Linked DNA regions of Danio rerio. The protein of the gene in region 2 interacts with the protein of the main gene of each other region in a pairwise test. Links are inferred from orthologs where the notes say so. Each region holds a gene or a part of one and is shown on either strand. Other genes may lie near its edges.

Region 1 (7,887 bases), on a different chromosome or scaffold from region 2:
GCTGCATCAAATGATAAGCATCTTGAAGGGGGCGGGGCACGTCAGACACTAGAGAGCATTTGATTGGTCAAGATTTAATGAGAAACTGAAGTATGTGGTGATGTGAAAAAATCGTTGATTCATTTAGGCGGAAGTGACTAGGTTTACATGTTTATATCAGTTTTACATCTTCTAAACAAGTTTTGTCACTGGACTAACATACTGATACGACCTTCTACAAAATTAAAATTTTACTGGACCAAGTGTTTTTTGACTTTGAATAGATGTAAACCTACAAACATTTTGCATAATAGAGGCACTTTAAATGCACCTAACATGTGATTAGTACAGGTTCTATTTATTTTGTGATTTGAGCTTATTTACAAAGTCCCAAGCATCATTTAGAAGAACATATTACACCTTTAATCCTTACTTCACTGCTTTCAACCCTTTAAAAATGTTACTTTGCTTATTCAGGCCATGCATTATCAAAAAAAAAATACCAACATTTATTTAATTCAAACAACAATTGACTTAATTCATAGCTTTAAATAATTATGTTGCAATGGTACATTAAAAAATAACTACATTAAATATTGTAATAATTATTTTTTATACATTTACAAATTTACGTATATCAAATCCTGACTACCTAATAAAATTTTAAACAGAAATGTAATTTAATTTCATTTGATTTTGAAACAGCTGATTTCAAACACACCAAAAAAAGTGTTGTTAGTCCCGTCTCCGTTCTCATGTTTCTGGTGCTGTTCACGAGCCTGTTGGGATTCCTGGCAAACATAGATTGTGAGCCTTGGACGGACAACCCTATTAAGAAAAAACAATGCAATTAATGTAACTGATAAATGTGACAGGTACAGTGCTCAGCATAATGGAGTATATCCCATTTTGAAAATGAATATTTGTAATCATTTCTCAGTGAATATAGGCATTGTCTGTTGGTGCATTTAAACAAAACAGAATAAACAGATATATTTATTAAAATAATATTTTAGTCACCAAACATATTTAGAAATCAAAAGATAATACAATTAAATTCAAGCAAAATATTGCTACATTTAAAAAAATGTAACTACATTTTTCCAATTATTCATTTATTTATTTATTTATGCTTCTCTTGTTTTTTTTTTCTCTCTTTTTTTTAAATTTGCATTTAATACTTTTAGATAACATATAAATTTGGGTGTACTAACTTTTGGACCGTTTTCGCAAGTTATTTTGTTAGATAAGCTCCAGATTTGGCTTCAGTAAAGACAAATCTATTTGAACAAATAAAATTTTGTAAAGTTTTCTCTTAAAAATATTAATTTAAAAGAGAGATTCATGAGGGGTGTACTTATATATGCTGAGCACTGTATAACACTTAGACTGTTACAAACATATTTCAAATAAAAAACTTTCAAGGCTAAAGTTTTTAAAGCTTTTTTATTATTTAAAGATTAAGATTTTATATTGTTTCCTAAGCATCAAACCAACAAATGATTACTGAAAAAAATGAACATATAAAAAAAAAAAAAAAAATGAATTTAAAAAGTGACAAAATTACTTTAACAAGAAAGCAGCAATTAAAGCCTAACAGAAATATTTATTTTTGCCCATTTGTCCCTAAGTTTCTTTTTCTTTGCTTTACCTTATATACAGTATATAATGTTAAAAACATTTTTAAAGGCTGATTATTACGATATATATTGATTAAAAACATTGCAACTTGTATTGACCTCTTTAGCTAGTGTTTTATCACGTTACAATCCATCACGCTGTTTAATGCAGTAAAATGTGGAATTATCATAACAACTCAGACTGCAAAGTAAACAACACACAGTAAAAGATTTCCTGCAGAACCTACAGTAACTTTCTGACAGCAGTTCGCCAGTAACTTACTATAAATCAGTTACAGTAAAAATACGGTATTCACATTTTCAGCACCATTAACTTGCTGTATATGCATTTACAGTATTGTACTGTGTAATTCTTTTTTTAATCGTTAACAAAGCAGCATTGCTGGTAAGATTCAAAGCAATTCTAATCTACAGGAATAGTTGAAGTCAGAAATATTAGCTCGTTTTTTTTCCTCCAATTTCTGTTTAACAAAGAGAAGATTTTTTTTCAACATTTCTAAACATAACAATTTTAAAAACTCAAGTCGACTAACTGATTTATTTTATCTTTGCCATGATGACAGTAAATAATATTTAACTAGATATTTTTCAAGACACTTCTATACAGCTTGAAGCGACATTTAAAGGCTAACCTACAATAGTTAGCTTAACTAGGCAGGTTACGATAATTAGGCAAGTTATTGTACAACGATGGTTTATTCTGTAGACTATCGAAAACTAATATAGCTTAAAGGGGCTAATAATTTGACCTTAAAATGTTTATTTTTTAAATAATAATTTCTTTTATTCTAGCCGAACAGCAACTAATAAGTTGATAAGTTTAAAACAAATAACATTTTCTCCAGAGGAAAAAATATTATCAGACATCCTGTAAAAATTTCCTTGCTCTGTTAAACATAATTTGGGAAATATTTTGGGAAAGAAAAGAAAATTCAAAGGGGGCTAATAATTCTGACATCAACTGTATGTTGTAACAGTTTAGTCGCTGCCTGTTTTATTTATTTATTTATTTATTATTATTTTTTTATTCTTTAAAAATTAAGATTATATGGTGTTTCCTACGGACCAAATCAACACAGTGATTTCTGAAAGATAATTTGAAAATAAAGCTAGAATTATTTGCTGAAAATTAAAAACAAATACAACTTATAAACAATTAATACAAGTTAACATAACTTAATATTGCCGTTTTTACTGTATTTTTAATACAGTAATTTCAGACAAAATCCTTCTCTCTTTTCAATAATCTACATTTTTTATTGACGTATAAATATGGCGTGTATGATGACAAACTCTTACCGTCCTTTAAGTGCATTAAATAGCCGAATGCCATCAGCAGGTCCACAGATCTGAATGACGTCCTCTCGGGTCAGTTTTAGCAGATCAGCCCCTGAGGAACAGGACAGTCACCACACTCGCACTAGGACTTTTTCAGACCACACTAAAGGTAATATGGAATATAGTACATTACTTTCTGAGCACATTATGATAACAGAATGAGACTGGAGAGCATGTGTCTTCTTAATGAGTGTGATGTGGCACTGTATGGTAGCTGAGTGAGCAAAGCCTGATGTGAGAGCTGTATGGGATGTGATGCACACTTATGCAAGCCCGATCGTCCCTTTACCCGAGAAGTTTGTGAAGAGACGGCAGAATGGTGAAAAACGGTTTCTATGGAGCCACTGCTGTGCTTCTTGTGGCGTTGCCGTGGGCAACAGATTCTGTTTGTTCAGGGGCAAAAAGAAAGGACAGAATAGGCCTTAGCACACTGACCATAAACGGATCATAATTTGTCTCCTTTTCCATTGAACAATCCCTCCAATGAAGTCAATCAAAGCCCCTTAAACTGTCTGGCCTTGAGTTGAACCCACTTCCATGTTTAAGAATAAAACTTGAAATCTTTTGCACACCAAGCTTTACCTTTGGCACATACACAATTCAACATATTCATATTAGCAAATAAATTCATGTACCTGATTGCTTTCACTTTCTCTTCTAAGTAGATGGCACGACAACTGTAAGGCAGAACGTCTCTCAGTTTTAAAATCTCAGATTTGTCTTGAGTGTTATCAATTTGTTATGAGGAAGCATGACTGGTGACTAACGGGGCTTACAGGTTACGAACAAACAAAAACAACACTGGGCTGAAACCTCATAACATCAATCTAGAACAGGGGTTCTCAAACTCAGTCCTGGTGGGCTAGTGTCCTTCAGATTTTAGCTCCATCTTGCCCCAACATACCTGCAATGATGTTTCTAGAAAGCCTAGTAAGAGTTTGATTAGCTAGCCCAGGTGTGTCTGATTGAGATTAGAACTAAACTTTGCAGGACACCGGCAATGCAGGATTGAGTTTTGACACCCCTGGTCAACAAGCTAACATAAAATAATCTCATTTTTAAGCTATTTTAAGTCAGTTTCAACAAACAAGCATAAGGAGGCATGAAAAAAATCATATCAAATGATATCAAATATATTTGCTAAAGAAAAAAATATGCTAAACCAATCAATTGCTCTAGATCAGGTTCATTTAAGGGTTTTTACATCTAATCTGTTCCCTTTATACACACTACTGTTCAAAAGTTTGGGTTTTTTTAAATATTTTAAAGACATTTGTTATCCTCATCATAATTGCACTTTTAATTATGATGGCAATTTGATCAATAACTGTTTTTAATACAATTTTAATGGCAAACTGTGATATGAAAGCTTAGAATTAGGCATTTTTGCATCATTGCTCTACTGTTGTCTAACAAAATGCTTCAGGAAGAAGTCTAATTTGGTGCTCAAAAAAACATTTTTATAATTGTCATTCTAAAAGTCCATTATTTATCAGGGGTTGCCACAATGGAATGAATCACCAACTAATGTACCAGCATATGCCGGTATATGATTTTACGCAGCGGATACCCTTCCAGACATAACCCCAGTACTGGAAAACACCCATACACTCTCACTAGGGTTTCTGCAGGCTTCTTTAAGTCAAATGTAAAACTTTTTAAGACCCTTTTAGGACCATTATGAATGAAATTTTACACTTATACAGGGCTAAAGACTAAGATTATTTTTTTCTAATGGCCCTTCAGTAAATAGTTTTTGTATTAATGGAAGATTTTGTTAAGGAATGTGTTGCTTTAGTTTTCTTTCACTGCTTATGGAATTAAATTAGGAGAATTTGCAGTAAACATGTATAACAGCTGTTGTGATTTGTATCTCTTTGCAATAAAAACAAATATATATAAATTTTGAGATGGATTATTGGTGATTGGGTAGCTTTACTTGGACATAGGAAATGTTAAAGACCTTTTTAACATTATTTAAAAGCTACAACAAAATATTAAAGACATTTTAAGAGTATAAGACCTCGTGGACACCCTGTTCACATACTATGCCAATTTAGCTTACCCAATTCACCTACTGTATAGCGCATGTTCTTGGACTGTGGGGATAACCAGAGAACCTGGAGGAAACCCACGCCAACACGGGGAAAACATGCAAACTCCACACAGAAATGCCAACAGACCCAGCTGTGACCCTAACCAGCAACCATTTTGCTGTGAAGCAACAGTGCTAACCACAGAGCCACCATGCTGCCTTTTTTAACATTTTATTATCACTAAAAAAAGCTGCTGTGAAGTTTATTAGCTTAGCGTAAACTGTGATGTGTTGTTTTGCCAAAAAGTTGAAAAGAACAGCATTTATTTCAAATAGAAATCTTTTATAACGTTATTGGTCGCATTTAATTCCATTGATACATCGTTTCTGAATAAATATAATTATTATTCTTTTAAAAACACATGAAAACCCAAACCTTTGAAACAGTAGAATAATATTTAACTAAATATTTAAGGACTTGGGCAGTGTAGTGTGATATATATATATATATATATATATATATATTTACATATACATATATATATATATATATATATATATATATATATATATTTACATATACATATATATATATATATATATATATATATATATATACATACACACTGTGTAACGATAGAAAATGCAATGCCATGGTATATCTGTGGCATGCAGATAACAAAACAAAAAAGAAAGAAAAATATAACAAAATTAATATATGTCCTAATACTTAACATACCACCCATTTTGCCCTATGTATTATATACTATTAGTTCTAACAAAAGCTACAAAGGGCACTACATGCTTTGAAATGTGCTAATGAGCATGCAAAGCAACCAAAAAAGCATTCTACAGAATTAATCATAGCAGCTGCCATATTATGAATGGAACAAAGGGTTTTTGATGAACTACTGTAGTTGTCCTGATATTATTAATGTAGATGGAAGCATGGAGCATACCTTATACACAAATACACACACAGCACTACACCTAATTACCATTTCATTCCCAAAACAGCTCAACTACTTAACGAGTGAAGCCAGTATTATTAAATATGAACTAAATCAAACACAAATGCAAATGGAACACAGATAAGAAGCACAAACATAATATTTAAATTAAAGGATAGCATGTAGAATGCAGAAATGTAGGAAAAGAAACATAAGGGAACACTGGGATGCATCTATATTTTGGTTAAAGTCCTAGGCAGTTTGCCTTTCATTTCTCAATGTACATACATTTGTTAAATGATTGTTATTTTATGCCACTGTGAGCAGTGGATATCAGATATGAGAGAGGAAGAAAAAAAATACACATACACTCACATCCGCTAACTGTGCGACAGGCTCTGGCTGGTGACTGGGTGAACCATTTCTGCAAGACAAAACTATGAGTCATTATGGCCATACATAAACATTTAATTATTGCATGTTGCTCCAAAAAAGATAAATGTTTTCATAGTCTATAAAACGATCTATAACCAGGGCTGCATGATACTGGAAAGATCGGATATTACGGTATTTTATTTTTCTGCGATAAATACGTTATTAATGCAGCTTCACACAATAGCTCTATCTGATGGTTTTCTAGGGAGTCTAAGAGTTTTCGGTTACAGAAATCGAATAACCACGAAGCAAAAATTGCTTTTCTTACTTTGTTTTGTCTAGTTTCTAGTTCAAATATAAAAAAAAATCTTGGACCAAGTGAAATATTGGGTAACACTTTATAATAACTGCACACTATGAATCATATACTAAGCATTAGCATCTAGTGAATTCATTATTTGTTAAGCATTAAGCCTGATTTATACTTCTGCGTCAGGTGACCGGCGTAACCCACGGCGCAGGCAACGCGCGTGGCTGTGCATTTATACTTCTGCGCGCTGTCTCTGTCGGTCTGCATTAACACTTCCGAAACGCTAGTTGGCAGTGAGGTGTAAATGTTCCTCTGTGTCGAGTTTCTTCTCTGCTTTTTTGCTTTTCCTGAACACTTCCGGGATGTACAAGTGGCTCAAACTCGCTCATTTTGAGGCAGGAACCGGCGGACGTGCAACAACTTTAACTATGAGGTAAACACAAAACAAAACTTTCCATCCGGAGCTCCTTCACGGGACTCCACACTTGTAAGCAATCGCTCGCGCAATTCGCGCGGCTCTCGGTCCCGCCCAGACTCGTCAGCGCTACCAAGCCGACCAATCACAGAGCTTACGCTACGCGTCGTTGCGACGTGTAGTTAAATTTTTTGAGAGGTGCACGTCAGTGACGGCGATGGCCACGGTGAAGGGCTATGCATCAGCGCCGTAGCATACGCCGACGTTTGACGCAGATGTATAAATCAGCCTTTAACTCCACATTAATGGACGTTAGTAAGCGGTTTATAACTGCAGCTACAAATGCTCTATTCTTGACTTACAAACATTTAAAATGTGCAATTTCATACTTAGTTAATGATTTGTTTTTATTACTAAATTAAGTATCGCACTATTTACAAACCAGTTGTATTAAGGAGTAGTTTAGGGTTTTTAGGAACATTCATTCTACACACAATACCCCATAATGACAATGTGAAAGTGTTGCAAACTTATTAAAAATAAAAAGACCTGGAAAATCACATGTACATAAGTATTTTCAGCCTTTGCTCAATACTTTGTTGATGCACATTTGGCAGCAATTACAGCCTCAAGTCTTTTTGAATATGCTGCCACAAGCTTGGCACACTGTCTTTGGGAATTTTTGTCCATTCTTCTTTGCAGTACCTCTCAAGCTCTATCAGGTTAAATAGAAAGTGATGGTGTACAGCCATTTTCAGATCTCTCCAGAGATCTTTAAATGGATTTAGGTCTGGACTCTGGCTGGGCCACTCAAGGACATTCACAGAGTTGTTGTAAAGCCACTC
Region 2 (8,429 bases):
GTTACTTATAACTAGGCCCACACAAAATCTGTGCACACAGAATTCCGTAGATTTTTAGCCCATTATTGATTCTGTTTATTTACTTGTGTAAATGAGTGTAAATTTATATTTATTCAGTTTTTATTTTAATTTCAGTAATTTTATTGGCTAATATGAAAATGTTCATATGATTTATTTACAGTATAGTTTGTAAAGTCATATGTTCTGTCTTTTAGTAGATATATTATATGAGAGACTTGCTTTGTTTATCAAATATAGTGGATCTAATTGTAAACACTGAATAAAAGTTAAAAAGGTATCACTTTTTATTTTATATATTAAGGTTTTAGTTATGAAACCAAAATAATTCTGCATTAATCTGCAGATTTTTAACAAAATTCTGTGCAGAAATAGCAAAAAATGTCCGCAGATTCCATCTGGCCCTACGAATGATCTTATTCTGTCCACAATCTTACCCAGTACTTGAACCCAACTATTAATAAGGAGCTAATTGGTTTTTAATTGAGCTAAAAGTAGTTTTAGTTGATGTGTAATGTTAGTTGATGTGTGTTAACAGCAGTAATTGTACGTTTAAATAAATGATGATCAATTAAATATACTTTTTTTTTTAAAAATAAAGTAAAAATCAACGAGAATTACCAAAATTTTGCAAAATAGAAAATAAGTCTATCAACTAATAGGCAACATGGTGGCTAAGTGGTTAGCACTGTCGTCGTCTCACAGCAAGAAGGCTGTGGTATTTCTTGGTGTGGAGTTTGCATGTTCTCCCTGTGTTGGCGTGGGTTTCCTCTGGATGCACCAGTTTCCCCCACAGTCCAAAGACATGCGCTATAGGTGAGTTAAATCACCTGAATTGGCCATAGTGTATGAGTGTGTGTGTGTGAATGTGAGAGTGTTTGGGTGTTTCCCAGTACTGAGTTGCGGCTGAAAAGCATGCGCTGTGTAAAACATGTGCTGGAATAGTTGGAGGTTCATTTTGCTGTGGCGACCCCTGATAAATAAGGAACTAAGCTGAAAAAAAATGAATGAATGAATGAATGAATGAATGAATGAATGAATAAATGAATGAATGAATGAATGAATGAATGAATGTGTGAAATAAACAACAACAGTCCTAAAATAATCTCGGGTTCTGTATGTGAAGCATAAAATATATATAAAATAAATATATATCAAATGCATTATATTTTTTCCTTATATTCTGGATCCCAGCGGGAACATTGATGTTAAAATAACATCAAAAAGCTTGTCAAAATGCAAATCGATTTGACGTCAATTGATCTCAAAATCTTGACAAATTGACATCTAACATTGGCGTCAAAAGATTTTTTTATGTGTATTTTGACACCAAAGTTATTGTTAATTTGATGTTGTTTTGACATCAAGGCAGTTTACATGCATCGGGAATACAAAATCCAGTGTAAATTTTGTAATGTTTAATAAAAACTTTTAAATGAATAACATTTTTCCTAAATTATAATACAAAGTTATAATACAAATCCAAAGGTATTATATTTATTTATATATATGTATGCATATATATATATATATGTGTGTGTGTGTGTGTGTGTGTGTATATAGTTAAAGTCAGAATTATTAGACAGACAATTATTATGACAGTAAATAATATTTCACTAGATATTTTTCAAGACACTTCTATACAGCTTAAAGTGCCATTTAAAGGCTTAACTAGGTTAATTAGGTAAACTAGACGAGTTAGGGTAATTAGGCAAGTTATTGTATAATGAAGGTTTGTTCTGTAGATTATCAAGGAAAAAATTAGCTCAAAGGGGATAATAATTTTGTCCCTAAAACAGTGTTGAAAAAAGTTTTAAAAAACTGCTTTTTTTCTAGCCAAAATAAAACAAAAAAGACTTTTTCCAGAAGAAAAAATATCAGACATACTGTGAAAATTGTCTTGCTCTGTTAAACATCATTTGAGAAATATTTAAAAAAAAGAAGAAAAAAATTCTAAAGGGCTAATTATTCTGACTTCAACAGTATATATTTTTTTTCTCTCTCATAGTATTTTGCAATACTCTTTTTTTAATCTCTTTTTTTCCTTACACCTGTTATGTTTTTGCTTCATTCTCATTTGTGTTTTTGCAATTCTTGCAATGTTCCTGGATATAGCATATATTTGAATTTGTATTATTACTTAATGTAATGTTTCAAAGCTTATAAAAATATTTTATAAGCTTTGAAACATTACATTATTTATTTATTATATATATTATTATTTTTATAAATATAAAAAAATAAAAAAATGACATCAAGGCAGTTTACATGAATTGTAGGGTTCAGGGGTGGACTTAGTGATTTGGGGGCCTAAGCAATTCCAGGTATGTGGCCCAAGCACTGAAACTTAAAACATTCTCTCTCTCTCTCTCTCTCTCTCTCTCTCTCTCTCTCTCTCTCTCTCTCTCTCTCTCTCTCTCTCTCTCTCTCTATATATATATATATATATATATATATATATATATATATATATATTCTCTTTAGATTAGTTTTTTTAATAAATAAATAAACAGCATGTTAAAAATATATATTTAAAGTAAATTTGATGTATTTTAATATTTAAAGGAAACTTTATTTTCTTATTGTCAAATTAAATGCAATAAATTCACCAAATAAACTAAGTACATTTAATTAGCCATTTTTGTGATTAGATTTTATTACAAATTAAAAAAACATTTAAACAAAATTTATTCACAATCCATCAAACTAATCTTGTCACCATTTTTCCCATAATCTTGAATAATTGCTGTTTGTGAATTGTCGGTCATTACTTTTCACTGGGAAATGTTATTTTTGTCGAAGGTTGCTAGTTTGAGCCTCGGCTGGGTCAGTTGGCATTTCTGTGTGAAGTTTGCATGTTCTTCCCGTGTTCGTGTGGGTTTCCTCCAAAAACATGTAGTATAGGTGAATTGAAAAAGCTAAGTTGTCCGTAGTGTATGTATGTGAATGGAAGTGGGTGTTTCCCAGAGATGGGTTGCAGCTGGAAGGGCGTCTGCAGTGTAAAACAAATGCTGGATAGGTTGGCAGTTCATTCCGCTGTGGCAACCCCAGATTAATAAAGGGACTAAGCCAAAAAGAAAATGAATGAATGAATGTTCCTTTACTTTTCATTGGGAAATGTTATTTATTTGAACAGATCCTCTCTTGACAAGCTCACAGCGCTCATCATCTGACAGGTGTTTCGGCCATCGTTTGTCTTATTTCTACTTTTGTCCCCCAAATGTTCTCAAAATGTTCTTCACTTTTGCTCTACTCAGATCACTGGCAGGCTGACAGTCTTTGAACTGATCACACCTCACCTATGGGCAGTACGTTCCACTATTCATGGGGGCCCCTGGTTTTAAAGTGGGTACCACGTTCGCCTCACAGCAAAAAGATCGCTGTTTCGAGCCTCGGCTGGGTCAGTCGGCATTTCTGTGTGGAGTTTGTATGTTCTCCCCGAGTTCATGTGGGTGTTTGCCGGCTCCTCCCCCACATGTCCAAAGACACATGGTAAAGGGGAATTGGGTGAGCTAAATTGGCCGTAGGGTATGTGTGTGAATGAGTGTGTATGGATGTTTCCCAGGGATGGGTTGCAGCTGGAAGGGCATCCGCTGCGTAAAAAATGCTGGATAAGTTGGCGGTTCATTCCGCTGTGGCAAACCCAGACTAATAAAGGAACTAAGTCGAAAAGAAAACGAATGAATGATAGAAAATTTACAAGAGAGCTATACTGTATGTTGAATATAGGGTTCTTGACATTGATTGGGGCCCCCTAATTCCCTGGGGCCCTAAGCAACTGCTTACCTCGCTTATAGGTTAAATCCACCCATGGTAGGGAAAAAATTAAAAGTATAAATTTTGTAATTTTGTTCTTAAGCTTTCAAATAAATAAAACGTTTAATATATTACTTTTGGTGTTTTTAATTTGGTGGCAAAGAGCATCAGTGTGTGGATGTCAAGCGGATGGCAAGATTTGGACATCAAGTCGATTTGCAATTTGAATGCGTTTTTTGACATTATACTTGATGTCTATTGGATGTCGTTTTGACATCAAGCTGCTCACCGAGATGTTTACGCTTAGTTTTTGACTTAAAATTCAGAGTTTTAAACTCACACGAGTGGATGTCTTTCCTGAGGACCCAGAATTCAGAGTTATCCTCAAATCTGATCAAACAGCACTGCTTGACACTGTCCACCTGCAAGACGAACACATCCCAAACAACACCACACTCATTTTCACAAGTACAAGTCGCAGTTTTCAAAACTTGCTTTTTCATCCTCTCCACCGGCTCCCTCCTCCGAACAAACTTGGAGAAACTTACTCGTTTGACATTGCCGAGATATAAAAGTCCATCGCTCCACCTGGCCAAAACATCCTCTCCTTCACTGACTCCCCCCATCCTGAAGAGAGCGGGAAAGAAGAGCGCACAAAACATCCAGAGGCTTTCAAATCAAGTAGCAAACAGCAGCAGCCTAAAGGGTTAAACTCTGTGCATAGCGACAGTATACAGTACAGTAGGATAAATGATGAAGAGTCAATGCACATTGCAGTGCCACACATGATCAAAAAGAAAAAAGAAGGGGGAAAAAAACACTGGCTGCTTTATGCAACCGACCGTAATGCATATGCAGATGCCACAACAATGCATGCAAAACGCGCGGCCAGATGTGCACTAATCAATGCGCGCAACTCAGGAGAGCTGACACACATGACGGCGCGCGCACGCACATATCAATTAACACGCATGGCAGATCATACGTGCACGGGATGTACCTGTGTGGAGTGATCGGCTCTGCTGGGGTCACAGAGACGGGGAAGAGATGTCAGTCTCACATGAAACGCCTGATGGTGACCGGTGTTGTTCTGCGTCTCAATCACTGTCCCGAATAATCGGCGCGTTTTGGAGAGTCGCGGCGGATCAAACGCGCGTCAGTGCGCAACCGTCTGTCCGTCCGTCCGTCTCTCTCTCTCTCTGTCCGTCTTCATGTCTCTCGGTTTGATGCTTTCAAGCGTGTGCTCGTCAGGAGATTCAGCCCGAGAGAGACGCCATCATCATCATCTCTGCCTCTCTCTCTTTCTCTCTCGCTCTCCTTCGACTTGTTGTGACGCAGACATAAAACACAGGGAGATGGAGAGGGAGGGAGATCCGGAGAACACCTTCACATCTGTGCGACTGACCGACTTCCCACCGGACTGAAAGCCGGCACGACCACCGCCTGCGCCCCTACAGCCCGCGATAGGAGCCCGGCCGGTGCCGCTCGCGCTCACAGCCTCATTAGGGAAAGTTTGACGGGGTAATTAGTCCGGCAGAGCCACGCCGTGGACTTTCTGGAGAAAGTTTGAAAATGCCCTTGGGTGCCGGCTGGAAAAAAAAGTAAAGAAAAAAGAGGCAAAGCTGCTGCGCGCAAAAAAAGAATAGAAAAAGAAGTTTAAAAACAATGTTTTGACTTATATATATAAAAAATAAAGAAATATAACCGCAATATTATTATCATAAATTAGAAAAAGGGCTAACGCCCAAAAAAAGAAAACAGATTTTTCTTATTCCATATTAGATAATGCAGTTACAGGATTATTATGATCATAACTTAAAAATGAGTGTAATGCAAGACAATAATAATAACAATCGAAAAATACAATAAATTACCACTTTATGACGATTGCATTATTAATCAGTTTTGAATAAATTATGTTTACACTTATATTTTCATATAATTATATACCGTCATTTTATTTTGTTTATTAATAATATTTTATTACAATATAAGTTATACATTTATGAAAAACATTACTCTGGCTATTCATAATGTACATAAATTTACATTTTATTAAATTATTTAATATACATTTCTCATATTGAGTAGATCAGTAGGTTATTAATGCTCAGACATGAGTTCTTTTTAGCGCTTTTCCAAAAATGTATTAATAAAATAAATCATTAATAATTTTAATAATAATAGTGTGTGTTCACTATCTATCTATTCATTATATTATCTATCTTAAATCCTGGTTGCCTCAATTTTTAAGCTGAATCAGATTAACCTTATGAGTCCGCTGAATTTATATGTTAAACTGACTTAAAACAGCTTCTGTAACTTATGAAATTTAGTTAGAACATGATTACCTTAGTTTAATAAGTTACAATGACCTAAAATATATGCTGTCATGACATATTGATCATATTTTACAGTGTACAGTGCTCAGCATAATTTAATAATATTTGATTAATTTCTCAATGGATATAGGCAATTATTTTGGTGCATTTAAAAAAACAGATTTATTAAACATATATTTATTAAAACAATATTTTAGTCACCAAACATATTTAGAAATTGAAAGATAATACAATTAAATTCAAGCTAAATATTGCAAAGTTTCAACTCTACTTTTTTTTTTTGTATTTGTTGTTTTGATTTTTCTTCTTTTAAATTTGTATACATATACATTTGGGTGTACTAGTTTTTGGACCGTTATCGTAAGTTATTTTGTTAGATAGACTCCAGATTTGGCTTCAGTAATGTACACTCTCAGAAATAAAGGTACAAAAGCTGTCACTGGGGTGGTCCCTTAACAAAAAATACAAATCTGTACCTTAAAGGTCCATATTAATACTTCAACGGTGCATATTAGTACCTAAAAAGTACAAAAGTGTTCCTCTTAAAATTTGTAGGTACTAATACTTTTAAGGTACCAATATGGACCCTTCAAGTACAAATGTGTACCTTTTGAAAAGGTACCACCCCAGTGACAGCTCTTGTACCTTTATTTCCGAGAGTGTATATCATATGCACAAATATAATATTGCATAGCTTCCTGTTCAAAATATGAATTTAAAAGATCTGTGAGGGGCATGTCCAAAAGACCTGTGGTACAGTGTATGAGTGTGTGTGTGTGTGTGTGTGTGTGTGTGTGTGTGTGTGTGTGTGTGTGTGTGTGTGTGTGTGTGTGTGTGTGTGTGTGAGAGTGAGTGTATATGAATGTTTCCCAGTGATGGGTTGCAGCTGAAAAGGCATCTGCTGCGTAAAACATATGCTGGATAAGTTGGCGGTTCATTCCGCTGTGGCAACCCCAGATTAATAAAGGGACAAAGCCAAAAATAAATGAATGAAGGATTTGTGAGGAGTGTACTTATATATGCTGAGTACTATGTGTGTATTATTTATTGTATACACACATACTTCCTCTCATTTGTAGTTATACAACAACATCTATTGTTGTAATCAATCTAACAATCAATATTGTTGTAAATAATCTAACTACAATAAAAATAACAATTTATTTTGGCTTAAACCTTTATTAATTACACATTAATATTAATAAAGATTTTATTACAACTTTATTAATTACACATTAACAATAACAAAGGCTGTATTACAACTTTATTAATTACACATTAATATTAATAAAGGTTTAAACCCACCTTTATTAACTACACATTAATATTAATAAAGGTTTTATTACAACTTTATTAATTACACATTAATATTAATAAAGGTTTAAACCCACCTTTATTAATTACACATTAATATTAATAAAGGTTTTATTACAACTTTATTAATTACACATTAATAATATTAAAGATTTTATTACACCTTTATTAATTACACATTTACAATAACAAAGGTTGTATTACAAATTTATTAATTACCCATTAATATTAATAAAGGTTTTAACCCACCTTTATTAATTACACATTTATATTAATAAAGGTTTTATTACACCTTTATTAATTATTACACCTTTATTACATCTTTATTAATCACATACTTATACTAAAACTATATTATCAATGCACTTCTATAACTTTTTTCCAGTATGCAGGCGAAATAACCATCTAAATATCTTTTGCTTTACATTTTCATCATCTTGAAGACAAACTTTGAAGTGTGTAATTGTGTTACAACACCCACACAAGCAGCGCGCGCACACACGGTAGGTGAAATCTAGCCAAAATCTTGAGATATCAAGCACAACACTGTAAGACTCCTATTACGAGAACAGTAGTGCTGGAATGTTCAAAATGGCCCCTGGCGTGTCTTTTTTATCCTGAAAGCAGATTTTGGAAAGAGTCCAGCAGAGGGCGCAAAAGATGGGAAGTGCAAACAGAGTTTTACTGAATTACAGAATCTGCATTAAGAAGCTTTTAGATTCTTGCTAACTTAGTGATTATTCACACAAACATGAAAGCGTTGTGGGCAACACACATTTAAGATAATAAGCCATTCAGAGTGCAGGCCTGAAGAGCCTGACAGAGGTGATAAATTATTCATAAGCACCAAACCACTATTTTAATTAGTCCACTCCAGCCAAGTGAATGCATAGCTCACATTACCAATGCTTTTATTCACCATAACAACCTTTTAATAAGCACAGAAATCTCCCTCAGACACATTATTCCAGCTAATAATGATGCAAAGGTCTTGCATAA

What was found.
Region 1: the proteins of phf1 (region 2) and tfcp2 interact in binary tests that used the Homo sapiens proteins (3 or more experiments, as listed by UniProt). The two-hybrid records come from large-scale screens. The link is inferred for Danio rerio from reciprocal best matches to the Homo sapiens genes PHF1 and TFCP2.

The regions. Positions count from the first base shown.
Region 1 is NC_133198.1:36,622,258-36,630,144, forward strand, and holds part of tfcp2 (alpha-globin transcription factor CP2), read right to left. Parts: intron 6,367-7,887; coding exon 6,312-6,366; intron 3,635-6,311; coding exon 3,593-3,634; intron 3,341-3,592; coding exon 3,247-3,340; intron 3,010-3,246; coding exon 2,919-3,009; intron 808-2,918; coding exon 701-807; intron 1-700.
Region 2 is NC_133191.1:49,884,969-49,893,397, reverse strand, and holds the start of phf1 (PHD finger protein 1), read right to left. Parts: upstream 5,093-8,429; 5' UTR 4,775-5,092; intron 4,402-4,774; 5' UTR 4,401-4,401; coding exon 4,323-4,400; intron 4,197-4,322; coding exon 4,115-4,196; intron 1-4,114. UniProt on the Homo sapiens protein: Polycomb group (PcG) that specifically binds histone H3 trimethylated at 'Lys-36' (H3K36me3) and recruits the PRC2 complex. Involved in DNA damage response and is recruited at double-strand breaks (DSBs).